2 linked regions of the Kluyveromyces lactis genome follow. The protein of the gene in region 1 interacts with the protein of each later gene in a pairwise test. Links are inferred from orthologs where the notes say so. Each region holds a gene or a part of one and is shown in the gene's direction. Other genes may lie near its edges. The genes, in order: MUM2 and VIR1.

Evidence for each region.
Region 2: the proteins of MUM2 (region 1) and VIR1 interact in binary tests that used the Saccharomyces cerevisiae proteins (3 or more experiments, as listed by UniProt). The link is inferred for Kluyveromyces lactis from reciprocal best matches to the Saccharomyces cerevisiae genes MUM2 and VIR1.

Annotation. Positions count from the first base shown.
Region 1 is NC_006042.1:1,712,545-1,727,607, forward strand, and holds MUM2 (Mum2p), read left to right. Parts: upstream 1-9,189; coding exon 9,190-10,002; downstream 10,003-15,063. Other genes in the region: serine/threonine protein kinase AKL1, read left to right, coding at 1-1,031; TSC3 (Tsc3p), read left to right, coding at 1,403-1,657; KLLA0_F18656g (sphingolipid delta(4)-desaturase family protein), read right to left, coding at 2,044-3,198; EHD3 (mitochondrial 37S ribosomal protein mS47), read left to right, coding at 4,346-5,860; ubiquitin-specific protease UBP14, read left to right, coding at 6,194-8,506; 3-deoxy-7-phosphoheptulonate synthase ARO3, read right to left, coding at 10,464-11,582; KLLA0_F18766g (uncharacterized protein), read right to left, coding at 12,598-12,804; MRX18 (17-beta-hydroxysteroid dehydrogenase-like protein), read right to left, coding at 13,502-14,971.
Region 2 is NC_006042.1:2,074,114-2,090,670, forward strand, and holds VIR1 (Vir1p), read left to right. Parts: upstream 1-6,543; coding exon 6,544-8,871; downstream 8,872-16,557. Other genes in the region: KLLA0_F22198g (class I SAM-dependent methyltransferase), read left to right, coding at 915-3,221; OCH1 (initiation-specific alpha-1,6-mannosyltransferase), read right to left, coding at 3,387-4,748; PNC1 (nicotinamidase), read right to left, coding at 5,349-6,005; serine/threonine protein kinase KNS1, read right to left, coding at 9,335-11,434; KLLA0_F22319g (uncharacterized protein), read right to left, coding at 12,500-13,111; KLLA0_F22341g (uncharacterized protein), read right to left, coding at 13,894-14,853; FG-nucleoporin NUP49, read right to left, coding at 15,363-16,557. UniProt on the Saccharomyces cerevisiae protein: Component of the MIS complex, a complex that mediates N6-methyladenosine (m6A) methylation of meiotic mRNAs and is required for initiation of meiosis, progression through the meiotic divisions and sporulation.

The DNA of each region.
Region 1 (15,063 bases):
AAAGGCACAGTTCACATGGTATAAGGGCGCCCTCTCCACTTCCTTCGTCACAACAGCCACAGAATACTGCGAATATGTCGGCTGCTAGACAGCATAAACAACATAATCCTTTTCAATCACAATTCCAGCCTGAAGTGGATGCATCTGAGTACTTTGATGCGAACAACGAACAATACTTCAAAGGCACTCCTCCTGCACATCCAAAAAATGAAAAGAATGTATCATATTTTCAACAATCTCCGATGAAGGAAAACAACCTAAATAACTTGAGTATCCAACAAAGTGATCAAGCCCGTACTTTTGATACTACAATGCCTATTTCTGATGTTCCAAATAATGGCAACGTCGTGAATGACGAATACCTGATTGACATTTCCCCACCCAGAAATAACGTACCCTATTCTACACCAGCCGCAATTACAGCCAATATGCAAGATCAAATCATTTCATCGCAACCTTTATCTCAATCTCAATCTCAATCTAAACCTCAGCCTCTTCCTCCACCCCAACCCCAACCCCAACCCCAACCCCAAGCTCAAGCTCAACCGAATACACGAGCTTCACTGAGGCCTGAGCGCCAGCAGCAAATTCCTGCTCAACCACGATTAGACCTTACTTTTGATCAACTTGATCTTTCAAAGAATTCATTGACTAGGCAGTCAGATACAGAACTAGAAGAAAGCATTATATCAGATGAAAGCATTTCACTCGATTTGAAGCAGCCGAAATTGAAGGAGCCTGTAACCCAACCTCGTCAAACAACATCTCCAGGGTCTGAGAGTAAAGAATTTCTGAAACCCGCCAAAGTTCCTAAGCGTCGGTCATTAGACCTAAAATATCAAGAAATCAATCTTTCGAATGATGATCAACGTAAGCATCGAAAAAATAAGACATCATTTTCCCGCACCAGTGTCAGAAGATCTGTAGAAATGGAACGCATGAAACATGACTCCAACTCTACATCTAATTCTAATGCAAGAGACGAAACCAAGGAGACGAAAAGAAGATCGTTCTTTGGTGTATTCAAATGATAGGTAACCAAGGGTAAAAGAAATTAGTTCATCCGATAGCATACCAAAAAAAACAACCTGAACTGATTGAAGCACCGATGTCCTTATTCTTTTAATTCAAGTCAATTATTGTATAAACGGTATGTACACACTTTGATTCTTATTGTCATTCGGCACGTCTCTCGACCTTTTTTAAACTTTACATTTCTTAAGGTTGATGAAAAACCAATATTTACATTGAAGAATATAAGAACAGAAGCAATACAGGTAAATTTTGGTTGATCAGTAAACGATATCCTGTAAGAAGGCGATTGTAACATTGAACTAAACTACACTGGAGTCAATTTTGACTTATAGAAGGGAATACGCTGAAGATAAGAAAAAGGTAGACAATGGCTGCAGAAAAGATTTATGAACCATACAAGAAGTCTCGAGGGACTATGATTTACACACCGACTAATCAGCAGATGTCGCGTGGTGGCATAGGAGAAAAGTTGGCTGATTTCGTGAAGAATCTATACTGGGTTTATTATATCCATCTTCCCTTTTATTTAATGACTTCACTTGATGCATTTTGTTTACACACTATATTTCTGGTTGTAGTCAGCCTGAGCTTATTTGGTTTATTGAAGTACATTTTCCTATGAAACTCGAAATTCAAAGTTTCTCAATCGAAACATTAGCATACAGAGAAAGAGGGAGCAAGACCTTTTTTAGCGCATTCGTTATCAACGAAAACTCCGATCTCTAATCCAATCAACACATATCCATGACAAAAAAATTGTCATTAAATTGAAGCAAACCATTTCTTATCACACTCCCTTTTAGACAAGTCCTGAAGGTTCGACAAGAGTAAATTTGTTTAGAAAGTATGGGCTATATAATCTATAAAAACGGATAAATATTTAGAAATGTATCACGGTTATTTCGCAGGTGATCATGACTTCATATCAGGAGCCGTTTTCCCGGTTCTCTTGTGTTTGTTTTTGATGTTTTTATAATATGTCTACGAGAATCACCCAGGAAGCATGAGTTAAGCCTTGCTTTGTTCGAACTCTTTATTAACTCTTTTCACTCTATTGTATAATACGACATCATCGTGGGTAATAAAATCGTACAAGACTTTACACCAGGAGGAGTGCTTTGGCAGATGATTATAAAATTCCGGACATAAACTGTTCAATTCCCAAAGTCGGGACCAAGCAACAAATGGGAAATCATGATGTTCATTGTGTAAACCGACATTCCAAGTGAAGAAGTTTAGAAGCCCATAATAAGAATACGTCTCCAATGCGTACTTTTTCCTGAATTCGACGTCTTCTCTTGAGACGTTTGATTCATCAGTGACGTTAATTGGTTGTCTTTCGGCTGGCGTTAATTTTAGCATCAGTTTACCACCGATGATAGCTTCTTCAATGTTCAACAGATAGTGTTCTGCAATGAAATGGCCAGAGCATGGATGTAGAGAACCGGCTAAGAATGAGGACATCAGGAAATAACAGTATGAATACCAACCAAAATTCGCGATCCATATAAAATTGAACATAAATTGGTACAACACGTTCAAAAGGTGGATGTAGGTGAATTTGATCCTTGTGACAAACATAGGTCTAAATGCGTAGAAGAAGATTTGGAATGTGGCAAAGAACGATTTCCCCAAGATATTGGATAAAAGCACAGCCTCAAACCTGGTAGGGATATCCGTGTCATAAATTTCATCTCCAAGAAACTTGTGATGCAATTGATGATATGGTCCAAATGACGCACTGTATGGGATACCAATTGGGGTATTTGTGAAAATGGCAAACAACTTGTTGTGGACAGGTTTCTTAAATGCTAGGTTGTGAGACAATTCATGGATTGCCAAGAAGATATTCTGGTTAGCGGTAGCACCGATGACATATGCAATGATGAAAAATTTCCAAGTAAAAGGATGGGTATTTCTTAAGTAATAGGAAAGCGATAACTGAAGCGACACAACACCAATGATAATCCATTTAGTCAAAGGTTCGTGGCCCATAAGTCGCTGCACTTCTGGATGTTTCTTAATTATGGCATGTCTTCTTATAGCATGGGGTTCTTTATGTGCGGACCAGTAGAAGTTATCAAGAACTTTAAAATCCTCATCTGCACTTGGAACGTCGACAAATTTCTCAGAGACTTTCAAATCTCTATGAACAATTGTCATGTCTAAGGGTCTTAATGAAGCTCTCTTCTTGTTAAGATAGCGATTCCGATGCTATATCAAAACTTGAAAGTAAAACAATGCCGATAAAAAAACAGGAACCGGAAACACGCTTGACAAAAATACAGTTCTTGATCCTTGATTCCAAGCCTGCCTAGAATCTTATTATTGAGTTTGATACTGATATTCTCAATGTAACCACACCAGTTGGATCAGGTATAAATCCTATGTTTATGCGTGACTATTTAAAAGAACTTAAGCTTTTAAAATTTAAAATCTAAAATCCTTAAATCCCGAAAAAGAACTGATCTTATGATGTGATAAATTCAAACACATACACAAACCTAAACGCAAGCAAAGCCTGCTAAGAAATGTGGTTTATACTTAGAAAGAAATCTGTAATTGGAATTACAATATATCTTTAAACGAACAAAAACCATGCGATGAGATGTTGCTGTTCCGTGTGCTCTCGAGCGATAGAAAGAAATTTTTCATTACGCTTTAAGGGAAATGGGAAAAAGTACGGTCACGTGAAACAAAGACACAGAGAGGGAACGCCCTGTTCTAACATCAGACACAGGGTTGGTGGTACCAAGGGCCCCACCAATATCTGTTTAACCATTAAATATGCAAAACTGATATATTTCGATCCAATCCTGACATACTCTAAATCATTTCAAATGTCAAACGATGTGACAAACCGCTGCAAGATTATGGTTCAATCTTATACAGGATTTGCTTCCACCCCGGATGAATGCAATTATACGCGTACATAAGTTCTGTACCCCCTTTGCTACCGACCTTAAATTGCTTCGCAGTTTGGCTATCTTGTCTTATTATCCCCTTTCAAGTTGGAGAATTGCTCAATCCATTAGGTACTGAAATTGTTCAACAATCGTAGTAGCTTTTTTTTTTTGGTCACTCACTATTCTCCATCTGCTGAAACAAATTTGAACCTGAACATTGAGTGGAACGAACTTGACGAGAACAGAAGAATGGTAGCAGTCTCCCTTTAATTGCTGCATACTTAACTTACGTTGATATCTTTGACCAAATATATCTATATATACCGAGATCTACAGCGTCTTATAATATCCTGGCGGGTTATCAACATCATCTATTATACCCATTTTTACCATAGCATTCCATAATGTTGAGGCATTCCTATTGTAGAGCACAGCAACAGTCATTGAGACACGTTTTGAAGACCAGATTGGCTGTTAATCAATTAAGATTTATGTCTGAAGTTAAGTTTAGAGTCGATTCCACTGCCAGAGTGGTCACTTTGGATAGACCAAAGAAATTGAACGCATTGGATGTTGAGATGTGCAGTGCCATCTTGCCCACATTGCAAGAATATGCCAAGAGTACCGTTAACAATGTTGTTATCTTGAACTCTTCAGCTAGTCCTAGGGCCTTCTGTTCAGGTGGCGATGTAGCTCAAGTAGCCAAGTTGGTTAAGGAAGGAAATTTTGATTACGCTAGAGAATTTTTCACCAAGGAATACTCGTTAAACTTGGCTCTAGCTACGCTGAACAAGCCGGTCATCTCTATCATGGACGGTATCACCATGGGTGGTGGTGTCGGTCTATCTACTCATATTCCATTCCGTATTGCTACTGAAAATACTCGTTGGGCCATGCCTGAGATGGATATTGGATTCTTCCCAGATGTCGGTGCCACTTTCTCTATTCCAAAGCTTACCACTGTTGGTGGTTCCAACGGACAATTGGCTCAGTACTTGTGCATGACTGGTGACATTTTGAATGGTGCCGATGCTTACGTGGCTGGTGTCGCTTCTCATTATGTGCCACATGATCAGATCTCCAACTTACAGGCAAGATTGGCTGAGTTACATTTGACTGAAGCCACTTCTCAATCGACTAACCGTGATGATGAAATTTTCGATGTTGTCAACCATGCTATTGAGGAATTCAACGCACCATTACCAAGAGACTACAAGTTCAAGTACACTGCTGATGAACTAAACGTCATTGAACAGTGTTTCGATATCGGTAACAGTTTGAAGCAAATCTACTCCAAATTGGATGAGGTCATTGCTGGAAAGACAGTATCACAAACAGCTCAGGAGTTTGCTGCAAAGACCAAGCAAATGCTAGCTAGCAAATCCCCTGTTTCTTTGGAAATCGCAAAAGAACTTTTCCAAAGAAACTCCTTCACTGACATTCAAACCGCCTTGACCCAAGATTTGATCACTGCTACTAAAATGTCAGAATCTCCGGACCTATGTGAATTTGCTGAGGCCACTAGTCATAAATTGCTAGAAAAGAACAAGACCCCATACCAATGGAAGATCAAAGATTTGAAATTAGCCCAAATATCAGTTCTAATCTCACAAAACTCCTCAAACCCGGTGTCGTTGATCCGCCCATCAAATTTAGTTACTTTCTCTGAATACCCACATCATAGCAAGTACCAATTACCAAACGAAACTCTAGTTGAGAAATATATCACAGGTGCTGACAACCATGGAAGACAAACTGCAGTTACTAAGAAGGAAGCTGTCAAATTCTTCCAACAATTGAACCCCGCCACGAAGAGTAAGACCGGCGTAGACTACTTGGTAGGTTTTATTATTGACAGAAAATGTGTTCCAAACCCAGATGGTTTCTTAAGATGGAAAACTTCCTCTGCTAAACTATAAAAACTATACATTTCGATTATATAGTACATCGAACACTTGTAAATACACTTACGATTAACCTACACGCAATAAATTTCATTATCCTCTCTTAGAATGGCATTGTTCTTCGGCAGTACATAAGGGTGCCATAAGTTAAATACAGCTCTAATTGATGCGTTCTACTTTAAAACTCGTTCATCTACCTAATTCTTTGTTATATTTTCCATAATTACGGCATGGTTTAAAATTTGAAATTACTGGAGTTTGATCCTTTAAAATGAGTGTGCAAGAAATAGAACATCAATATATAAGAACAAAGCTCCACAACGCATCATATCTGCCTTCAAATTAAAGATGTCTGGTTCTGATATCCTTGATATCAATGTACCCAGGGTCATTGATACAGATGACTGTGTTTATTGTTTTGAAACGATGAAGAATAAAGATGAGGGTCGTGAACATTCATTATTCATCTGTCTACGCTGCTTTCAGTCTTTCTCCGAAGAGCATTGGGAACTACATCAAGAGGTTGTTTTGAGTGAGACTGGTTCTACCCATGATCTGTATCTCAGAGTATTCAAGGTTCTAAAACCAAAACAAGAGCGAGAAGAAGCTGGCACGCCACCATTGGAAAAGAAATTAAAGCTTGAGGTTAAGGATGTGAATGAGGATGATCTATATGATACCCACTGGCTGCTTGGATCTGTGGAACATGGAGAATTGTTATCTTCAGACACTCCATCTATTCCTAAGGAATGGAGTGACAAAATTAGTGAAATCTTGCAAACAAAATCCTCATCATATCAAGATATGTCAAATACCTGGACACTTGAATTAAAGTCATGTCCACACATACAGACTTTCGACTTATCGAACTTGGAGAAGCGAGAAGGTGGCATTTCTCAAAGCTGTAACGACTGTGGTCTTACTTCTAACCTTTGGTTATGTCTCCATTGTGGAAACGTCGCCTGTGGAAGAGAGCAGGTTGGGATAGAGGGGTACTCTCATGCTTTGAAACATTATGAAAGCACAGATGGCCACGCTTTAGCGATAAAATTGGGCTCTTTGACAGCTGATGCAGCTGATATATACTGTTATTCTTGTGATGAAGATGTGAAATTCACCCATAATCTGCAGTTGCAGGATATCTTGAAGTTTTGGGAAGTCGAAGTACCAGCCAAGTCCAAAGAAAAGACATTGGTGGAATTGCAAGTGGAACAAAGTCTGAAATGGGATTTTCAAATGGTAGATTCACAAGGTAAAAGTTTAAAACATCTACAAAATGGTCCTGAATACGGTTTGGGCTTATTAAATTTGGGCAATTCTTGCTACCTAAATTCTGTATTGCAAGTTTTACTTAACGGTGGGATCAGAAATTGGAACCTAGATGGATTAGGATCCTTTCCTACAGATGTCGTCTATCCAAGAACGAATTTACACTGTCAACTAATCAAAATCAGAAATGCTATGACCTTACAGCAATCCAGATATCCTGAGGGTATTAAACCCACCACTTTCAAAAAGGTTATTGGGGGCTCGCATGAAGAATTTTCCTCTGGAAGACAGCAAGATTCCTTGGAATTTTTTTCCTATCTCTCTGATAAATTGGATAGAGAGATATTTAAAAATACTACTACCAATCCAAACGATTTGTTTAGATTCAACATTCAAGACAAGATTAAATGTGACAATTGTAACAAAGTTAAGTTCATGGATCAAGTTTCAGAAGTCATTCAGCTTCCATTAAGAAAACTAGACGGGGAGCAAAATCTAATTGACAGGTTAAATGATTACTTCAGTGGGGAAAAAATTGAATACCGTTGTCTCACCAATAAGAAAATTAACACTGCATCAAAAGTACCAGGGTTCTCTAGTTTCCCACGTACACTTATCATAAACCCGATTAGAATTGAGTTAATCAACTGGCAGCCAAGCAAGACATCAGAGCAAGTTGTGGTACCTGGTGTACGCGATGATGCTTTACTAGATATGTCCCCATTCAAAGCTACAGGAATTTGCGAAGGGGAAGAAGTCGAAGAAGAAGAGGAATCAGATTCCTTCCAATTCAACGAATTGTTCCTAGGACAATTAGAACAGATGGGATTCTCTCGCAATGCTACCAAAAGAGCATTATTTGAAACGGGAAACTCTGACCCTAATGCAGCCACGGAATGGTTGTTCCAGCATATGGAGGACCCTAACTTAAACGAGGCCTTTGATCCTCATGCTTCATCCTCAGCGAAAAATCGTGTCGATTCAGAAGCACTAAACAGTATGACTGCTATGGGGCTTGATTCGAAACTATGCCGCAAAGCTTTGATATTGAAGAATGGTGACGTCAATGCCAGTGTAGAATGGGTTTTCTCCCATATGGATGACGACGGGGAGTTACCTGAAGCTGAGGAATGGAAGGATCAATCCAGAAAAAGTTTTGGAATCCCAGCATCGTCAATTGCCTCTGCTAAGTATAAACTGACTGCTGTCATATGCCATAAAGGTAATTCAGTTCACAGTGGCCATTACGTTGCATTTATTAAGAAAGTGGTCGAAGGAAAAGAACAATGGGTTCTCTACAACGATGAAAAAATTCTCTTGGCCAACGATGAACCAAATTTCGAGGACATAGAAAAGAATGGCTACATGTTTTTCTTCAACCTTGAAGAATAAGAGGCATCTCCTCTCTAAATAAAAGAGACATGCATCACAACATGAAACTCTAAAAAAATAGGACTTGCCCACCTTCCTATCTGCATTGGGTATTCAACGATATGGTTGTGTGTCCATATATACATATATATCCTCGTACATGACTCAATTCAATACAGTATGGTGGGCTTATTCCTATTTATAGCGGTTCCTGTCTGGAGGCAGTTGTGTCCAGCCATTGCAAGTCACGTGAATATGCTTCATGATTCCCTGAAAATGAAACATGTCAGATCTGCCCTTAAAAATAAAGCAAACTAGATCAATTATTTACCAGTGACAGAACACTTGTTACCAAGTAAGTAGTCACACAATCTTCCAAAAACGATCAACAAACCATAAGTTATTTTAAAACCATGAATTCAAACGGATATATGTCTTACGTAAGTTTTTGCATACATTGGAGGATTGCCTACATGACACATTTTTAATCAATACTGTTTCTGTCTGTCCCTGTTTTCTATGAAACATGGAACAACCAAATTGAGACTATAAATGTTTCTAACTCATAATTAACCTTTTACTAACAGGTCAATGTTATCGTGTAGCAACCTGAATATAACCAACAGAGTTTGGATAACTCTTTCGCCAATCTGAATTTTGGTAGTTCTGACGAGTCCAAATTGTATGGCACAACCGCCAATGTCATGAACTCCAGCATGGCACATGGAGGTAGCTTCAGCTTACATGGGAACATTGATGGTATGGGCTCCCACTATAACCAAGGACTTCAGGGCCATTTGAGCGGATCTTCTACTCATAGGAGCAGCATGTCATCATATTGGGAACAGCCGCTCATAGAACAACATAATTCGCCCGAGATAGAGTCCTCGAGAGGCATTTCGTCAAACACGCATCCTGGAAGCTCTTCAAATAACACGGTAATAATGGACAGATCATCATATGCTAAAAGCTCAGGATTCAATACCACTTTCGACTCTGAAACAGAGCCATCATCAGACAACTTCAAACTTGAACTACAGTTGAAAGAGACACAGATAGAATCGTTAGAAATAGAGATAAAAAAATTGAAGGAGGTATTCAATCAGGGTTTGACTTTCAAGCAGCAAGAAGAGCAGAAAATGAAGAAATCAAAGGCTCTTACTTTCGATTCTGAAATCCAGATACCGGCATCCCTGGAAATAATATTTTGTAAGTTATCAGATTCATTAAAGAGAAAGGACCAAGAATTACAAGAAACAAAAAGACGACTAGAAGGAATAGTTACAGCGGTTGCGCTTAACCCTTCAAATTCTACTACAAAGTTTGGTAGATATGACGAAGAAGCTTTAGCACATAAAATGGTAACTCGATTGGAAACTTTAATGAAGGAAAACGAAGAAATGGCAAAAATGCTTAGTTATGGTCGAGTGAAGGAGACAAGTATCGAGCTCGAACTTTTACGTAAAGAAAACCAAGAACTCAAAGAAAGACTAAGGATTCTACAGCAAGAAAAGTAACACCAAAGTATAAGATCTTGATCCTTCTTTTTCTGATATTTTTGCTTTTTTCTGCCAATGACATTCTAGTTGGACGTTTTATTTGACGATCTAAAAACTTTCGAGAGTAATTCAAGATACATGTATGCTATATAACATCTACCTAGATTAGGTATACTTTGCTGACACACAAAAATGTAAATGAACCATTGATATTTATTTCATCCGACGTTAGAAACTTACGATTAGAGAAACTTGAACATACAAAGTGTAGACCTTTATGTGAAGTAATTTTAGTTGATTAAATAAACTGTATGCGGACTTGTCCTTGTAATATGTACATGAGGAGGCTCGGAAAATAAATATTGGTTGGCCGTTTATTCTTCCAGTTACCTGAGTTTGGCTATCTTTTCAAGAAGTGATTGTGTGTTTAAGAAGATTATGAGGTATTACAAAAACGATGCGGGAAAAGTGATTGTTATTCAAGCCTTTGAAAGAGCTCTTCTGTTTTTAACACCCTTTGCCAATAATCTTAGAACATCTTCAGTTGTTTCCCAACCGATACAGGCATCGGTGATAGAACATCCGTAAATCAACTTTTCACGGCCACCTTCTGGAGGAACGTCTTGTCTACCTTCGACTAAGTTAGATTCGATCATGACACCACAGATAGCATTTTGACCAGCTGATAGTTGTTCGTAAAGTGACTGAGCCACCTTTGGTTGATTTCTGAAATCTTTCTTTGAATTCCCATGAGAACAATCAACCATGATTCTTCTTTGGACACCTTCAGCATCAGCAACCTTTGCCTTGACCAATTCGGCTTGCGTCTTTTTTACGTTTTCAGCATCGAAATTAGTTCCAGTCTTACCACCTCTTAAGATAACAAAGGTATCTTCGTTACCTTCTGTTCCAACGATGGCAGTGACACCAGGTTTAGTAACAGACAAGAAGTAATGTGAGTGTGCAGCAGATCTCATGGCATCAACAGCAACTTGGAGACCACCGTCAGTACCATTCTTAAAACCAATTGGGAAAGAAAGACCAGAAGCTAATTCCCTATGTAGTTGAGATTCAGTGGTTCTAGCGCCGATAGCACCCAGAGAGAAACAGTCACTCAAAAATTGTGGAGAAATGGTGTCCAACATTTCACCAGCGATTGGTAATTTTTCAGTCAATCTGGTGAACATCTCTCTAGAAATTCTTAAACCTTTGTTAATTTGGAAAGAATTATCGATATCTGGATCATTGATCAAACCTTTCCAGCCAACAGTGGTTCTAGGTTTCTCCAAGTACGCTCTCATAATGATTAATAGATCATCGGATAATTCATCAGAAATTTTCTTCAAAAGGTCTGCGTATTCGTAGGCAGCCTTTGGATCATGAATAGAACATGGCCCAATAACTACAACTAAACGGTCGTCCTTCCCATTCAAAATGTCACATACTTTCTCTCTAGCTTCAACGATGATCTTTTTGGCCTTTTCACCGATGGGATATTCATGTTGTAATAAGTCCGGTGGGGTCAATGGATCATATCCCTTGATTCTCCAGTCTTCTAAACTACTTCTGTCCCCAATATGATCGTTAGTGATGAACATTTTTTACTACCCTGTTTTTACCGCAATGGTGGTATCAGTGAATGTCTTCTTGCCTCTATTGCTCTTCCTTTGGCAAATGGAAAAGAGTGGATGGCTCATCGAAAAGTGTTGTGATGATGTTCCATCCAATTTTTTTTTTCACTTTTTGTGCAAAGAAATCATGCCTATATACATTTCTGGAAAAATATTATGAGTAACAATTTGAAAAGAAAAAAAAAAATTTCCAGTAACGACACAGAGTTTTGCCGAACCAGAAACAAGGTACGAATATTTATCATAGTCGCAGGGTGAAGTACCGTTGCTTATACTTTAGGTGCAACAATTGAAAAATTTTGAAGTTTCAGTAAAAAGTACAGGTTAAATTTGTGCAATGTAATGTGTATTTGGTTCAAAGTTGGAGTTAGTTATACTGAATACGTCGGAAAAACTGCATGGCAACGGGTACTGCCCCAGGAATAATAAGTTTTGTGTCACGTGGTATGCGAGAATTCACCATTTATATCATTTCAAGGTTTTGTATTGGCCATAGTGTCTGTTATAGACCGGGGTCATTTCAAAAGCACATTTCCTGCCATTGACCATTTTTATCATTCACGAATCAAATTCATATATATGTATGGATATAGGTTTGTATGCACAGATTAGTTTCTAGAACGTGGCTATTTCTTCCCAACATATCGAACAGTAATAATCGAAGTTCATTGCGGGATGGGCAAAAGAAGAATAGTCAATGGTATATCACTCAATTGCCCATGTTGTTCATTCATGTCAACAGTTTGCCTTTGGATCGACTAAGGACCGTTAAATACAGAAATATATTAAATTGTTCGGTGATGATATAGAATGATATAGATTACATATAATACAGGTCGCTCTAAATACTGCTTCAATTATACTATTAACGATAGATTGAACAGCAGTGTACTGTGCGGTGATACATTTATTTTCATTTTTGTTTGTAGTTTTGTGTTATTCAGTTTGGATCCATCTTTCAAGAGAATGTTCAAGCATTGATCTAAGGCCCGCTTAATATAGAACAGCATAACTCGAACAAGCAACAACACATTAATGCTTTACAACACGTCCCGCAACACCCACTGTCCTGTCTTGGAGGAGCTTGCTGAACGTATACCGGCTGCTGAGGCTGTTGGTAGTACATTGGCTGTTGTTGTTGCTGATACACTGGTTGTTGATAGTACATTGGCTGTCGATGACGGCCCATTGTTGGAATTGTATTGTTTTATGTGATTTCCTAGATCTGCTTGCCTCTTTGGTTTGCTATTGAATGGATTAGGACTCCAACCGAACCTCTTCTCGACACTAAGTCGTCTCGTCAATACTACTTATATATATATATATATATATATATAACATGTAGGTTACGGCTGTAATAATGTTTCAAGTTCTAATCATAGGTATTTTCGATAGCTTTTTTCGAATGTTTCTTTTCTCCTCATTCGAAAGTTCTTTCTAAGCCTTGCGCGTCTGTGCACAAATCCTGCAGAAAGACTGAACAAGTGCACATCGGCAACTTAGCAGTAAAGGCTGAAAGATGAGTTCAGAAGCGGGATTCATGGTTTATTAAAGTTAGGCTTAGTTGTACAAACAGTGTAAGTATGAAATATGACAGGAAAAAGGAAAAAAAACCACTTGTTGGGTCATATTAGGGTCATATTAGGGTTAAGATACATTCGGACCCTCTGGTAATAAAATGCTGTTAAAAATAACTTACTGCGCTATCAGCTGACAATCAGCTATTTTTTTTGAAGTAAAGTATTTTACGGTAAGTTTGAGGGAAGTTATACCCCAGAAGATAAATCAATGTCATTGACATTTGCCATATCTAGTTATATTCTGTCCAAAGTTATACATCAGATGAATCGAAAGATCCAAAAAAAAAACATCCATGTGTAGTACGCCTAATAATGATTGAAGTTGGCTATAGCTTGATCAAACCCTTGTTCCCATTCCCACATATATTCTCCATCACCCTTACTTTTTATATACTGTACTCTTCTGAAATATTTCCAAGCACAGGTTCTTCCTAAGAGTGAATTGTTAAATGTCGTGAACGATTCGATGTCCTTGATTGTATTGCGAAGAGCGTCCTCAAATCTCCAGTGTTCCATCTTGTCACCACCTTTGTCAGCCCAGTAGTTTTTGTGGTCTTCAACAAGTTTATTGATTGCACCATTGTCGGGTTTCTTCCACGTCGTGGGTCTGTTTGGAATAGCGCCTTTATTGACCATAGGAATATATCCCCATTCTCCTCCATCTCCAGATTCAAATTGAAGAGTCCAGAAGAACCATCCCCAGGATGCCTGCCTCTGGAATATACTTGTCTGTGCTTGTCCATATTTCTTCACAAGATCATCTCTGTTTCCGGAAGTCTTGTCCCAGCTTTGACCATCAATGACACAGGAAAACTCAGCTACTGTGAAATCTGCCTTAGACCTGTCAAATTGCACTGAGGATGATAAATCTTGAATCAATTTTTCAACGTTCTTGGCCTTGTCCGAATCGCTGAAGCATCGATACACATGTGAGTCGATTATAACGTCGGTGAATAGTTTTTTTTCCTGAACCCAGTCAGACCACTGTTGAGGCCACCAGCCATCTGAAATAACCACCGGTAAGGTACTGTTGATAGAACGCACTTTTTCGACAGCCTTTTCATAATAAGATTTTTGTTTCTTACCGCTTTCATCAAATTGAGCTTCATTGACAATTTGCAATCCGATTAAATTTACATTTGATTGTAGATCTTGCACCACAAAAGGTATAACATTATCAACGATTGATTTGACGAAACTCGATTCATCAAAGAAAGTAGCAGAACCACAGCTTTGTTCGCCACTATGGGCATCTCCATTAGCTCCGCCTGGTAATCCATGTAAATCCAATAGAACTCCAATTTTATTCTCATTTGCCAAAGAAATCACCTTTTTCACTCTGTCCCATGGTTTCGACTTGGAATAAACGTCCTTCAAGCTATAGAACTTCTCGCCATTTTTCAATAATTCACCATTTTTGACATGCCAATATCCAACAGGCAACCTAATCGCAGTACACCCAACTGATCTTAACCAATTCCAATCTACACGATTCAAATATGAATCATAATGATCAGATAATTTTTTGGCAGTGTCATTTGAGTTGCTTGCTTTGACCTGGTTTGTGATAGCATCAAATTCATTACCACCACCAGCAGAAAATAGACTATGGAAGATATATTGCTCTAGTACGAACATTGATCCGAAATTAACACCATAATTAGTTCTGTTCTGATAGAAAATTCGTTCGTCTTTCAATTCACCTGGTTGAGGTAAGTCCAAGAACGTTACTTCTCTTGATTTATTCAAAACCTTCTGTTTTAGCTTATCGAACATGATTGGCTCTTTAATATTTGAATACTAAATTATGCTTCAAGACAAGCATCCGATATGTGATCCCTTCACAAAAACAAATATCTCTTGAACCG
Region 2 (16,557 bases), about 360 kb from region 1:
AATAGTTGAAGTCGTGGGAAACGATAGCTTTGGGGTAATGAAAAGTATGTGCAATCCAATCACGTGATTGTTGCTTTTCTCAAAAAGGTCGCCCAATAGTGAATGTTCCGAATGACTTCTCAGGGTTCTAGGCTGGTCCAGTTGGGCAACTTGTATGCCAGGTACCATCAAGAGAAAGATATTATGATGTCACTGGTAGCTAGACTGCAGAAATATATTTCTAGCGCAGGCTAATACTCACTATCTAAAAATTTATAGTTAATATTCGGTATATGCACTGCTGGCACGTTCTTGTTTGATTGCGGCCAGCGTAAGTGTCAAGAATATTCAAATAATCTGACGTTTTACGTAATAGGGATGCATAGATATCGCTTCTTGAGCTTTTTAAGGTAATTGGGACTTTGCAACTCTACACGTGTTGTTTTGAAATAAAGGCAAGGAACAGAACGCGTAATATATGTTTAGCATGTGAGAGTGTATTCTTTTATTGAATCTAAGAGTAGATTGTTTTCTATTTTGATTTTCGGTTCGCAATAAAATCCAGTATCCACTACACGTGTCGCTGTCAGTTTTAAAACACAAGTAAAAGACAAAGACGTGGTAAACAGTTTACAGATACATTATTGGCTGTCGATATAGTTCCTAAATCAATTACCATATAAATGAGACTTCGAAAGCTTTCATGAGACCAAATTGAAATGTATTTAATGTGTAAAATAATTTGACGTCAGAATATGGTCCTGAAAAATACTCTGATGTCAAACGTAGCTCGAACATAGAATAAGAGCATATAAGCAGAAACTAATAGACAGAATTATTAGAACAAGTTATCAGTAATTTGATTTACCATGAACTCTACCTCCTCTTCTTCAGAGGAAGCGTTGAGTTTTCTAAACGAAAACGTCCTTGGTGTCATGTTTGGTTATATGAAACATGTCGGGCAAGAGTGGAACGAAAAGATGAGAGAATCTCCAAAGGTTGTTGGGGCTAGTGTCGGTATTATCACACCACTAGTTGTTCTTCTTATGTTCAGCGAATCTCTCCGTTCCGTTGTACAATTCTGCTGGCAGTGCTTTTTCAAACCGTTTACGTCAGTGACAAGCAACAATAATCAGCAAGAAAACTTAGAACAATTCTATAAATCCCAAGCCAAACTCTACGATCGTACAAGGGGTGTTTTACTCCAAGGTCGTGAAACAAGCCTTAAATTATCTCTTTCTCACCTCTCTGAAAAGAAAGGTAATGTCTGGATTGATGTCGGGGGTGGGACTGGTTTCAATATCTCCCAAATGGCGCTTTTAACAAACTTGGATACAACGTTTGACAAAATTTACTTGATTGATCTCTCTCCATCGCTATGTGAGGTTGCAAGAAAACGTTGTAAAGAGCATGGATGGAAAAATGTGGAAGTGATCTGTGGAGATGCTTGCGATTTTGAAATACCAGAGGAATCAGCTCAGTTGATCACATTTTCTTATTCATTGAGCATGATACCAAGTTTCTATGCGGCCATTGATCACGCAGTATCTTTATTGGATGCTAAGAATGGTATCATTTCGTGTGTTGATTTTGGTGTCACTAATGAATCTATGCTAGTCGGAAGAACCAACACTTTGGGTGGTCTAGTTAACAGACATATACCTTGGCTATTCCGTACATTCTGGAGATTGTGGTTTGAATTCGACAAAGTGTTTTTGGATCCAGCTAGAAGAGAATATCTTGAATATAGATTCGGGACAATCAAATCATTGAATTGTTATAACTACAAGCTTGGTAAAATTCCCTACTACATTTGGTTGGGTTGCAATAAAGACCACGAACAACATCTTCAAGCTAGATTTGTTGAACTTGCACCAACATCTCCATACCTCGCACCTATAACCACGTCAGCTTCCTCTAACGCTCAGCCAATGACCAAAGCTATGATTGCAGCACTAGAAAATTCTAAAAAAGGTTTACCATATCCTTCTCTGTTCTATCAAAAGGAGCATTGGAGAGTGTACTATGATGAAGTGAACCCTGAGTACAGCCAATTTAAGAACAGTTATATATACGCATTCACATGGGAAGATCCTAGAGAAGATGTTAACATTCTTAATATTCAACCAGAAGATACCATTTTGGCTATTACCAGTGCTGGTGATAATATTTTGCACTATGCCACTTTGCCTAATCCACCGAAGAGAATTCATGGGGTGGATTTAAATCCATGTCAAGGACATTTGACAGAATTAAAATTAGCAGCGATTAGAAGCTTGAGTTTCACACAGTTGTGGCAAATGTTTGGTGAAGGTAAGATTGATAGATTCAACAATATTTTACTGAATAAATTGGCGCCATATCTTTCATCAAACGCATTTCAATACTGGTTCGAAAATGGAACGAAAACATTTGATCCTAATGGAGCCGGGTTGTATGACACTGGGTTCACAAAGTGGGCATTAAGACTTGCAAAATGGGTATTCAAAGTTGCAAATCTTACAGATGAAGTTAATATGCTATGCAAAGCTAAGACCCTAGAGGAGCAAAGATCTATTTGGGATAAAAAGATAAAGCCGGTCCTTTTCAACAGAGTAGTGGGTAAAATCCTCGTTGGAAACCCGTTATTTTTATGGAGTGCACTTGGAGTACCACGTAATCAAGCAAAAATGATGGGCTCTTCAACATTGCAATATATTATTGACACTTTGGACCCTGTTATTGATAATTCTTTGATTTCCGATGATAATTACTTTTATTATTTGACATTGAAGGGAAGATATTCGAGTAGAAGTTGTCCTGATTACCTAAAAGAGGGTGGATTCAAGTCTCTTTCTCGTGAAAGTCCTGAATCTCCTCTAGATAGAGTTAGACTTCATACTGACACGTTGAAGGATGTCTGTGAGCGTTTGTCGAAGAAAACAGTTTCGATTGCTATAATTATGGATCACATGGATTGGTTTGATCCACAAGGAACTGATGTTGACGAAGAAATTCAGGCTTTGTGGTTGGCCCTCAACTCTCGCGGTAGGGTATTATTGAGATCTGCCTCTAAAAGCCCATGGTATATCAAAAACTTCGAAAAGTTCGGCTTCAGTTGTAAAGCAGTAAGTGCAAGATACCCTGGAAAATGTATTGATAGAGTTAACATGTATGCCAGTACCTGGGTTTGTCAAAAAATCTCCACGGCATCTCAGAGCAACAACCGTAGATTAAGTTCTCTCGATTTGGAGAATAATTAAGGACCATAACAGGCAAACAATTTCATAAATAGAACTTGAAGATGAGATGTAATATAAATACAAATGTTGAAAAAAAAAAAAAAAAAAAAAGATACACAAATGAAATGAATGAAGTAATATGCTTATTTTGTCTCTTTGCACTGAGTTCGCTTTTTGCTTTCATCTTCAGTCTTTCCAACTTCCTTCAAAAATATGCTTAACAAATGCCATCTCGTCGTTGTCTTCTTTAGCGCCCATTGTTCTGATACCTGGTGAGAAAGAAGTAATCGGAAGTACCATGATGTCGTCCACTAGAATAGGCTCTGTCATCAATGAAAAGAATCCCCAGAACAATGAGGGTTTGTCGTTTTGTAAATTTTTAACAATGTCTTTATAGAATCTCATAGTTGTATCATGTTTGGATCCATGTTTGTTGATAACATTAAGATTATCATTGAAAATTAAAATGTCATCATTCTTCTGGATAACGTTATTAAGATACTGGAAAATAACATCTGAAAAAATACCTGGACCAGTCCAGTTCATAATATCGGTACCATCTGTATTTTTGGCGGTTTTCTTTTGTTGATGTTTGTAATTTTTGTTGAACTTCTTTTTATCCCTCATGTTGACATTATAATCATCTGCAATGTCTTTTAATACTTCAGCATCATCTAAAGGAATGCTGCTTTTAACATTTGCCACGCTCTCCAATGTTGTTGCGGTGATATTTGTGATCAATTCGCGCAATAATGGATGGCCAGATTTTGATTGTATTGTCCACTGACAGAATTGTATTCTCCTGGCGTACCACTCTGCCCAATCGCTTCTATCCGGATCAGCCTCGATACCAATGACAAAGCCAGGTTCTGAAGCTTCTAGCGTTTCAAGGTTGTCCAAGGAATTTCTATACCTTTGTGGATTCTTTAAACTAGAAAAGTAGGACTGAGAAGTCGATGGCCATGACGACAATGGCTTTAATGGGAACGTATCCATGTCAGAATATATACCACCTCTTGCATAAAGGATCAAGTATCTGAAAAAGTCTGCTTTAAGAATTGGAAGTGGCAAGGATTCAAAAGCCTTTATCACTTGTGGGACCCCACCATATAGCTGCTCTAGAAGTGGTATCATTTGATCATCTGTGATTAATTGGTATTGATATGGCGGTTCCTCGGATGCACTGAAATGTTTCCAATCATTCTGGCATTTTGAAATGGAAGAAACCTGTGACTTTGAACTGGGATCAATCTTCCAGGTCTGCCATACCTTTTTGGGGATGGGTACTCGAGAATCGTAGGGGAATTGACTAGCCAATTGAACTCGTAGATCCATCAAATGATCACCGTTATTGCTCGTACCTGCTAAGTCCAAGTTTTTCAAGTTCAAGTGATCCACGCGAGCTGTACTGGGAAGCACCGTGCCAATGCTGTTATAGAAATGGTGATTCACTTTCGCAGTATTCCATTGCACAGAAAACAATAAGTACAGTATCAGCACAATGACAATAATGTACCTCGTTCTTCTTGAAATCTTTGGTAACCCCATTGTGCCTGTAAAATTAAGAAAATGCCCACAAATTTAATGTTTTTGGGATGTTGTTTGTGAATCAAACGATTAATTCTCTCTATCGATCCCTAAGAACTTTTTATCATTCAATGAAGAAAAAAACAACAAACAGCAAGAAAAAACCAATTTTCTAAACAGTAAACCCAATTAAATTAATGTTTCGCACACGCTCCAACTGTTGTTAAAACCTACACCTCTTGATCTATGATACGAATGTATATATGTACAGAATGTATATATGTACAGAATGCGTTTTTCTTTGCAGTGGTAGTTAATCATTTGATGAGATTTCAGCATGAAACTATATATGAAAAACTGAAAAAAAAAGGTCTATACAACCTTAGCGAAGTAAAAAATCTAAAAAAAGCTTTTGTACTGGCCAGAATCGACAGACGGGCGATACGGTCGTTTGACCAAGAGAAAGAAGATGCAGAGGGCAAGTAATGGATTCAGGGTTCAGTTCAATGATATGAGTTCATAGAGGGGTTCATAAATACAATCAGCGGTCGACGTGTACATAGCGGGTATTATATGTCTTGTGTATAGTTTTGAAGTTTCGGTCCATATAACATGTCCAGATCAGATGGACTCTTGAACTGAGACCTCATTTTTGGCCAATTCCTGGATGAACGATTCAATCGATTGCAAATCATTTGCGATAGCTTTAGTATAATCCTTGAGTATAGTTACATGGTAACCAAGGTTTGCAGCGCTTATTGCTGAGTTTTTTACGCAGAAATCGAATGCAAGTCCGACCACATAGATTTCAGTAACATCATTCTCTTTGAAAAAGGCGTCAAGTTCAGTGTGATGATCATTCCAGATATCGTTGAATCCGGAATAATACTCACGATCCGATAAGTAACCTTTATTGACAATCTTATGTGGCACCTTGAGCTTTAAAATTTCAGCGAGTAATTTTTCCGGAACCTCAGAGCCCCATGTCTCCTGGACACAATGGACTGGCCATAACGTAGCACTTTGTTTCTCGGTGCTCCCAGGAACGGGTGAGTCGTAGGTGAATGAACTGAAATCTGGTAATCCATGGTTCTTTGCAAAAGAAATGTGGTCTGGCGGATGCCAGTCTTTAGTCATGGCAACACAGTCCCAATCCTGATCTTGCAAAAGCTGGATGACAGGATCGATGATAGTATCACCATCTTGAACTGCCAATGATCCTTTTGGTGGTAAGAAATCGTTCTGAATATCAATTACTAATAACGCACGGGCTCCCATCGTTAACAAATACGGAGTCTCGATTACTTAGTGATGTTTGTGTCTCACGTTTTTTCACCGTTCCTTTATTATCTCCCTAATTTTTCAAACGGTTTGTTTTTTCAGTGCAATTTTCCCTTCAAGTATGTGCTACTTTATATACTAAATACCTACCTAACCGAGAGCAATGTTCGTCGTTCCGCAGAAAATGAACAGTCAAGACAGTGGTTGGTGCTAATTGCCTGCCTTGTATACATTGGATACACTGCTGCTTTGTACGGCCGTAGCATTTACAATCTGAAACATATCTACTTTATACTACGAACTGATCAACCCTTTTTTAATTTTTCGATCCTTTTTTCGTTATTGTCTCATAGTATTGGGCGTCTAAATCTTGAGAAAAAAGAATCTTCTGAAACTATATAAACTAAGGGGTTTTATCTTGGATCTTAATCAAGAGAAATAAAGTAATGATTATCCCGAACGCCAGAAGTGACATTACTTCGGCATATTTTGGAGCTTTGATTGTAAAAAAAAGCAAGCTTTCTTTCTGGTAAAGATGGATGGCATATCCTCAATAAGTTTACAACCAATTCAGAATTTAGATGGCTTATTTCGGATATTGGCGGCTAAAGAGACAGACGATTTACACAGGATTAATGTTTGGTATAAATTACTTGAAATATTAAGAGTAGCCGGGAATCAAGCGGTATGTATCGATCAATCGGTATGTGACAATTTATTGTCCAGATTATTGGTTTCTGTTTCTATGGTTGATGCCGTTGAAGAAGGTATTGATTTGTTTGGAGTAGCGTTTACTTATTGTTCCGTAAATGAATCACTTCAAACACTTGTATTTCAATTCATTAGTCAACTTGAAGAAAATTCTAATTTGAATTTATTATTCCTTAAGACTTGCAGTTTACGACCCCATAAAGATCATGTTCCCGGGTTCTACGATATAATTTTCCAATTACAGACTTTCAAAACATTGGATGCAAAGGTAATGCGATTCTTAGACCTTAACTTGGGAGATGTCATATTAAATTCATGGATTCCGTCTTGGAAATCGTGGATCGACTCTTTTAGGAATAATTGTAAAGATTTTGACGTTGTTCATTTTTTGGTACAGGAAAGAATACTAATTAAAACTGTGCAACGTCATGAATTGGATATGGCAATTGCAAACTTTCAAGTTTATCCTAGAAGGTTGAAGGCCTTATTAAATATTAAGACGGAAGCCACACAATATCTATCTCTCAAATTCATTAGAAGATCCTTAAAGTTCTTTAAATGGTTGAATAAAGACTTGCAAGGAACTGTCATATCTTTTTCCAGCAATTCTATGAACAATCACACCTTCGAACAACTCTTTCATGATAATGGAGAATTCTATTTGCAAGTGATCATGGAGATTGTCGATCATCCGGAACTAGAACTCTTAGAGGAATCTCATCTGTTACTGTTACTAAGAGTTTCTTTGGGACATGTGTGGGAAAAGTGTATCATGTCAAATCAAATATCAGAAGTGCACCATACTCTTGGAAAAATGGGAACAACGCAGTCATTGCCGTCTTTAATTAACCTTTTGCAATATATTTTATCGAAATACTGTATTAATGTAATGGAATGCATTAATAACGGTTATGAAATGGAAACTAATTCCCTTTGGTACAGACAATTAACGAACTTGGCCATCCCAGCATGGTTTGAAGATTTGAGTCCAAAGATTCCACCAGTATCTAGGGCAGTATTTGGATTTGATGACAACAGGATTGAAAAAGGACAAATGATTAACAGTTTTCAAGAGAACTTTAGTAACATTTTTGAGTGTATGCAACTCACTTTATCTTTAAATGGAGCACTTTTAACCTACTATGGAAATATTGGCTTAAATCCACTATGTCTCGGATCGCAAGCTATGTCAAATTGCATTTCTGATGTACAAAATAAGACAGTATCAATGCATTTCACAATTTACTTCGTTCCTCTTTTTACAGTGCTTTTGTTATCCCAAAAATTACTCGAGACTGACGGCGCTAGTAGGACTTTTTTGAATACTGAAGCAGCTCTAGTAGATGCAAAGCAGTTATTCAGGCAATCTATTAAACAAATTGAGTGTATCATTGACAATCATGGGAACAATGGATTGTACCATCTTATCAAGTTTGTGTCCCAGGTAAGCATAGAAAGTTTGCTCTTTCAGGACATCTCTATGATAATATTACGCCATATCTTCTTTGAGAGTGATGGACAATGGATCTTACAGTTATGCTTAGCAAATGAACTGACAACTCATGGTTTGCTTGATTACATCGTATTATGGAATGATGGATCAAAATTGTATAGTCCTTTCTTCACAGAAATCTTCAAGCAACCGCAACCAGAAATCCTTAGAAAAACAGTAGTACTTGGTGACTTGTTTGAGCTACTTATGGAAAAAACGAAACAACCATCCAAGGAAGGCATTTCACATCCTAAGGTAAGATCAAAATTCAACACTAACGCAAGCTCTTTCGTTCCACAAGATACTAGTATGCATACCCGCACACCGAAGAAGATTGAACAAAGTCCACAATATCCCGTGCATCCTTCTCTCAGCAGCTATGGATTCAAACCTGTCAGTGTTAGAACAACATCCGGGGTTTCTGCAGGTATGAATACTTCGTTTGCAGATTGCTTTTCGGGAGTGTTTAACAGCGATCAGCAATCAAAAGCCCAGATGGTGCAGAACTGGAGCTCCCCACCTCCAGTGTCACAATACAATCAGGTAAACTCCACGAAACTTGTTAATACTGGCAAAAGCTACATCCTAGGCGGGCATAATAGAGCAGTCAATAATAGCAGGACTAAAAGTGTACATGTTGATGATTTTGAGCAGCGTTGAATAACTAACTCGCTATAATTCGCGGCAAATTGAACGACAGGAACGTCAAAAAATGACAAATTTCGAGTAAGAAAGATCTTAATCACGTAAATTTGATTATAAAATCATAGAATGCTGCGATCAACGGACCCTTACGATCTCTCGCCATTTTGATTTATGCTCCCTCTTTATAACCAACCATTTTAGGAGAGAACCTTGAAAAGAATAACGAAATGATTATGAGACGATAGGTAAAAAAATTCATTCAGTAGATAAAGTATAATAATTACAAAAAAAATAAAATAGTAGATTGAATAAGAATGAAGTTAACTTGAGCTAGAAAAACCGTCTGTACTCAAGCGAATTAATCTTGGAAGAAATTGGAAGGAAGAAAAGTATAAGTTCGACCCTAATCCTAATGTTGCACAAACATGATGAAAAAATAAAAAAATAAGAGAAATGAAAGAAAAAAAAACATAATTACCTATAATCTTCCGTAGTGTGAAATACCTTCATCTAAAATCCCAATGTTGAACCACTCATGTTCAATCACTTCCTTCGCCGTTATTCTTTTCGTTGGATCAAATTCAAACATCTTACGACATAAATCAACGAAATAATACCAAAACATGAAAACGTTCTTATCAATATTTCTGGAATCAATATTTTTTGATAAAATTAGACGCCAGTTGTCCTCTAACTGCATATCCCAGTGAATCTCCAGCCAAGATCCATAGTCCATTTGTAACTTTTTGGAGATAAAAACATCCAGCCTGTCACATGTTGCCAAAATTCTTTTCCATGACTTTTCTTTGGTAATGACTTGACCTTTTGAATTCCGGAGAGGCCACCTTAATTCTCCTGTTTGTCTGTCGAAATATTTTACAACTGAAGTTTGCAAATCAGTTGGGATGCTGCCATACTTGTTTTCAACTTTGAAGAACATTTTTTCAACCATCTTTTTAGGGAATTTTTCATTGTTGATACGTTGCATCATAGCCATATGCTCTGTATTTTCATGAATTGGATAGAGTGACTCGCCAGTAACTAGCTCAACCAATACACATGCTATTGACCAGATATCGCATGGGAAAGACCATCCAAGCCCTAAAACAATTTCAGGAGCTCTGTAGTGACGCGTTGAAACGACAGGTGGATGGTATTCATTGTAGAATACAGCACTTCCAAAATCAATTAATTTCACCTCAGGATTTATGAGTATTTTTCTCTTTCCACCGCTAGCCAGTTTCCTTCTTTCAGTTAAAGAGTCTATGATTTCCATTGGAAGTGACTGTTCCACGCAAGTTTCATCACATATCAATATATTCTCCGGTTTCAAATCAGTATGTATTATTCCTAAATCATGCAAGAAGCACACAGAACGTACCAACTGTTTACCGATAGCTTGAACATGGGAACCAGGGAACCTTGCATATCCATTGTTTGTCATAAAGTCATACACGGACCTGCCGTATAAATCAGTGACCAAGCATATGTGATTCTTGTAATCGAAGAATTCTCGCAACAGCAAGCATTGATATTGGCCACTCCTGTCATTTTCCTTTATAGTCTGCAAGACACGTAGTTCTGTCTTTGCAGCTTGCCGATATCTATCGACAGCTCTTATGATTTTGACAGCAACAGTGATATCGTTTAAATAGTCCTTGCACTTTACCACTTTCCCAAAAGTACCCTGTCCCAAAAGCTGCATAGCCTGGAATCTGTTCTTGGCAAAAATGTCATTCTCCTGGTATACATAATGACCTTCCTCATCAGTTTTGAATCTATCCATAGAACGTAATTTGTCCTGATGGGAGCCCAATAGCGGAGATTTCTTTAAAATTTTGGTGAACCTGGATGGAGATTTCGAGGCAGAATTTGAGATGTCAAAGTTCTGGTCCTGGTTATTGTTTTGCATACCACCATTTTTTCCCAATCTGAAATCAGCAACAGGTACCGGAGACAAAGATCTGATCAATGGCAATTTAATCAACTTGTTCCCATCAACAGTTTGCGTCGTAGTACCGCTGACATGCAATAACTCGTCATCATTCTGTGTCCTCCTATCCGTATTTCTGGGTTCGTAGAGTAGTCTTGCATGCGGTAATTGTGGTAAAGAGACTGTTCTTTGCTTCTTTACCTTTTTGGCACTCGTATAGTTGACACTATTGACAAACTCCACGGCACTGTCGTCCAAATCTACAAGATCAAATCCGTTCCCGTTTTCATTTTGTTTACTATTCCTATTATTAGCAGCGATACCGGTAACAAAAGATCCTGAATTCTGGCCCTGTCTGTCAACATCCAACAGAAGCGTGCCCCTTAACGAATCTGCCGTCATTGGATCGTTGTTGGATGACATAAATTCCTCGATGAACGGATTCTGCATCCGTCCAGTATTTGAAGCAGAAGACGTTGAGACATCTGCAGCTGCGGCTGCGGCTGCGGCCGCAGCTGCCGTCATTATAGGATCTGACATGTGTCCATCCATATATTGTGATCTCAGTGTCGAGCTTTCATTAATGCCTTCCAAAGTCCTGGTTCTTTTCCTCTTGGCAGCAAAATTCTTTGAGGCCATCGTCATAAATTAGTTTCCTGCGGTGGAAGAAGCAATTTCTCAATTAAAAAATGTGCACTTGTCCTATGCTTTTTCTTTACTTTAGAAAGGAGACCTTGATCCCTCTCCTGCAATGTTATTTTATTTTTAAATTGCTAATCTTTCAATGATAAGCGCAAATCCCTCGTCCAGCTAACACTATACCTCGATGAAACGTACCTGCTCTCTCTTTAAATGTCTGTTTAGCTTTGCTGAACAAGTGGTCTGCTAAAATAATACTTGGCAAACACCGTCATTTATATATAGTATATGTATTTATTCTTGGAGATTAATTAAATTAGTGAAGAATCATGGTTTAATCATTTCGAGGGGAGAATCCATCAGAACGGAAATTTTACCCTGCCAACCGATGATTCAAAAAAAAAAAAAAAAAAAATTTGGCAAAAACACTCAAGTGCAATTTTTTCCCAAGAAACGGCAGTAAGAGGAGAAACAATACGTCGTTAGATGCAATACGGCTACGTGGGTTATTGATTATTAAACGTTGGTTGTTGTCCATATATAGCTATAAAAAAGAACGTGGTTTGCTAGCTTCTTATGAGCGTGCGAGCAAGAGTTGCATGGGCAGCCAGCCTAACCTGATCCCGATAAACCTCAGCTACCGAGCTGCTCTCTTCTGAAGCGGCTTTGCAAGGGTTACGGATGATGGTGGTACGTAATTATAAAGTGGGTACGTCTTTGCTGGGTGACTGGAATTTCATGTTTCTGTAAGATTCTCGGGAGGGTAACAATAATGATTATGATAACACCCAAGGCCGTTCAACAGGGTCTGGGCCCTCCTCGAAACAAAACAAGTTTTGGGCCATGTATCATCATTATTTACGGATGTGTCGTGTGACACTGAGATCTTCGCTCTTATTTACCGTAATATACATATACCAATGCACATATCTGTGTGCTTTATATGTATAAATATGTAAATATAAAATATACCATCCTAATTACCTGTATTTCATTCTGCATCATATTGTAGTATACGATTTGTATAAAAAAGTTCAAAAGCTTATTATCCTTTAAGGTTAAAGATAAAAATCAACACTTGTGGCACTTGTGTTTCTTCTCGTGTCTTCGTAAATTGCTCTTGACATTGTAGCTCTTGTTACAATCAAGATATGTACATTTGAACGGTTTCGCCTGTGAATGCACCACTATATGTGTTTTCAAAGTGCTTGGACGAGAGAATTCTTTCCCGCAAATGTGGCATTTCTTACAGTGTATTTTCTTCTTGTAACGAGCCCCACGTCCTTGCTTTTGGTTCCATTCGTGGATGTACCCGGGTTCTGGTCTATCGTGCAGTAGCTTTTCTTGCAATTGTTTGAAATCTAACTCAGACAATGAATCTGTGGAAGAGCATGAAGAGTCTGAGTGGGCTCTGGGCCTAAATATTGCGTCACTTGTGTCTATCTTATTTTCAGCTTTTACTTTTTTCTCATCGGCAATGGTCAACGGGGGACTTATCGAGAGTTTAGTTATTGGAGGTAACGTCCTTGGTGTATCATCGAAATTGTCTGTGTCTGTGTAGTTTACTAAGTTACGAATGGATGGAAGAAGCGAAAATTGGTTACAACTTAGTGTCGCTCTGCCTCGATTTTCTGCCATTTCCTTTGGGCTCTTGGGTAGTGGTAAAATCATCTTCTTATCCATTATGTTTGGTTTTATTTTTATGTTATCTTTTTATTTGCGTCAGCGTGTGCTGATCTTATCCCACGGCCTTTTACGTCTCCTCCGCTGGTCAACTCCCGTAAAGAAAATGCTTTTTATATGCATATATATATATATATTTATACACTGTTACATGGCTTCAGACATGTGCCAAGCGGGTTTACTAGAAACCTACCAAGAATGTCACTAGATTGCCGTTATGATTGGCATATATAAAACACGTTTTTCCCTTGCTCATGACTCGTGGTCCCTCGAGTGGAAGAGAACAAAAATTAATTCCCAACAAAGTACGCAGTACTTTCCAATCATTACCACGTGAACTTGAACCCACATGCAGCACCATGCACGGTCTTTTCTTGATAAAGACCGTGCTTTTCTAACAATTTCCTTTTCGTTTTACTTAAGATGAGGTACCTTATTAACATTACGCAGATCCATGTTCGGCGTATTTGGTTCCACGTGGGAAATTCACGTGTTGGCTGATAAGCTAGTTATCATTTCGGGACGCCCTGGGTTTTTTAAAAAGGTCTGAAAGTCATTTGCATCCCCGAAATCTGATTTTGGACGATTACCCCTCCTGTTACCCGGACATGCGACGGGGAAATAGACATGATCTGGCCCAAGATGTTCCGTCATAACTGGGAGAGAACCTCTGTGCTGTAGGCCTGATGAAGACATACTTTAGAAACGAAATACACATACATATATATCCTGGAAAAACTGTTTACGTATGGTATATATCAAATTTTACCCTGAATCACACATCACATTCTTACCCTTAAGAGATCAAGTATTTTATGGTATTGGTGGCGAAGCTTATCAGAGGATTTGTACCAAATCCTAGGCACGGAAAACTTGCGCAAATGTGGGAATTCAAGTGGGTACATTTTCCTCATTTTTCTCTGGTACCTATGGATAGCAGCTTGTAAATTTACTCTGAACTTGAATAGTGATTGTCGTTGACGGGGCCATTGCGTCTCCTTGTAGCTATCGAATCTCTGTTTAGTTAGCGAGTAGAAAGCAGTGATCCGGTCTTCTGCTGTTTCCTTCGCATTCTTCGTCCATTCCTTAACGCTTTCGAAGTTTTCACGCCTCACCGTTGTACTGACCCAGTTAGAAGTTGCTGCATAAGTAAATTTCAACTTCTTCTGACATACTTCGTAATATTGCTCAAGAGAAGGGAAGCTAGGGTAATATGATGCTAAAGTGGATGGAAGTGGCGTTTTCTTCACGTATGCTGCTTCGTATGCATGGGCCCTATGGCCCATGTATGCATCAAATTGACAAGCCAATCTGTCCTTGAAAGCTAGTGAACTACACTCTAACTCGTTGTTTTTAGTAAAACTGTTAATATCACGGATGAAAACGGTCAAGAGGCCCATGTTGATGAGACCGGCCACCAACGAAATTCCAAGAATAACGGATTGAAGTTTCGTCAAGCGCGCTGTCCATGTATTGCTCCTTGCTGTTGTCTTTGCAGGCGCAACGTTGGATAATGAATCCAGTGGCGTGGATAACGACGTAGTATTGTTACTATGATTAACGCTCCCTTTCTTATTCTGCAACACTGCGGAATCCTCTAAGTCGCTGCTTGTCACCGATAAAATATCGTCCATTTCACCAGCGTCAAGATCCCTGATGGAATATGTACCGTCCACACCACCAACGACCCCCCAAGTGTCATTTCCATCCACTGATGTACATCTATCTTTTACTTCAGCCATCGCTTCGCTTTAATCAAAAAAAAAATCTCCTAGCTCCTTGATTTTACGCCTGAAGCTTGATCTACAATAAGTTTATACTGACAGAATTAATACTAAAATGTCACACTTAATATGTCTCTGATATTCCAATAATGATAGTTAGTTGCCAGCAACGTTCTAAAATTCTTATCAGTCCTATATATATTTCTTGAGTATAATCACAAAACCAGGACGCCTTTCCTTTGTTCTTTGTTTCACATTTTCGTTTCCGGGAAAACTGTTACTCCTTGTTAACCATTTTTTAATCCTTATTCCTTTTATATTTGTCGTATCAAATTCCCTTTTTTCACAACTCATTGACCTAAATAAGGAAGGGAAGATAAAGGGAGCCTGAGAAGAGAAGACTGCGAAGAGACAAGTGGCAGATGCGGTGCAGGTGCAGTGCATGTGCAGGAGTTAGTGATCTGCATCAATAGGTAATATGTTCTTGAACGCTTTCTTTTTTTATAGTATTAAAAGAATAATATCGACTATTTAACTATTATTTCTTTACACTTCTGATGCAGTTCTGCTATTCTTTCAGCTGTATCCATGAATAGTTTGAACTCTTCGATTAGAACGCTGACGATAATGTTAACACCGACCTTGGTATCATCATCTTCGGATGAATCGTTCCCAAAGAGATCATTCTCTAGACCTGACACTGCGTCGTCAATATTGCTTAGAGTGTCGTTGTAGTCATTTAATTTGTGTTTGTATGTGATTAATTTTTCCTGGAAGAACTTATCTATCTCAACGTTTGATATTTTGAATCCCTTACTGACTAGTTGTTGCAACATTATAGCAAAATTTTCCAATTGTTTAACATCTTTATCCACTAGTGTCTTGATGGCATCGATTCGTTTCAAATCTGATGATAGTGATCTTGTTGCGTTGAAATGCAATTTTTGTAGATACTTGATGTCACGAGGGATTGAATCCAATAGTTCAGTTTGATCTTGTAGATCAGCTTCAAGATGTTTGGATAAAGACACTTGCGTTCTAATGAATTGGTCCAATTGTTCGATTTCTTGACGAATTTGAATCGGAAGCTCCGATATCTTGGTCATCGGCGTGATAGCTAATTGGTTAATGAAATTAATGGCACTCTGTTGAGTCTGTTGTATCTGTTGTTGTGGTGGCTGTTGAAATTGATTTTGTGTTTGTCCAAACATTCCTAAACCAGATTGTTGGGATTGCTGTTGTTGATTTCCGAATGGGCCTCCGGTAGTTGGTTTGGATCCAAACAATCCTCCACCAGTTGCAGAGCCTCCGAAACCGGTAGTCTGTGGTTGTGCTGGTTTGGATCCAAATAATCCTCCTCCAGTTCCAGAGCTTCCAAAACCAGTGGTCTGTGGTTGTGCTGACTTATTCCCGAATAAGCCTCCGCCAGACCCGGCTCCTGAGTTACCAAATAGGCCACCTGTGGAGCCAGTGGCTGTATTATTAGAACTTCCGAAAAGTCCTCCTGCGGTTTGGTTCGTATTGTTGTTGGTGCCTGCTGGATTACTGCCAAATAATCCTCCGCCAGTCTGTGTCGCTGTATTGTTATTGTTTCCAAATAACCCTCCTCCAGTGTTACCTGATGTGGCATTGTTATTACCAAAAAGACCACCGCTAGTGCTTTGCTGGTTGCCCGTATTCCCAAATAATCCTCCTCCTGTGCTTGGTCCTACTGGAGGACCT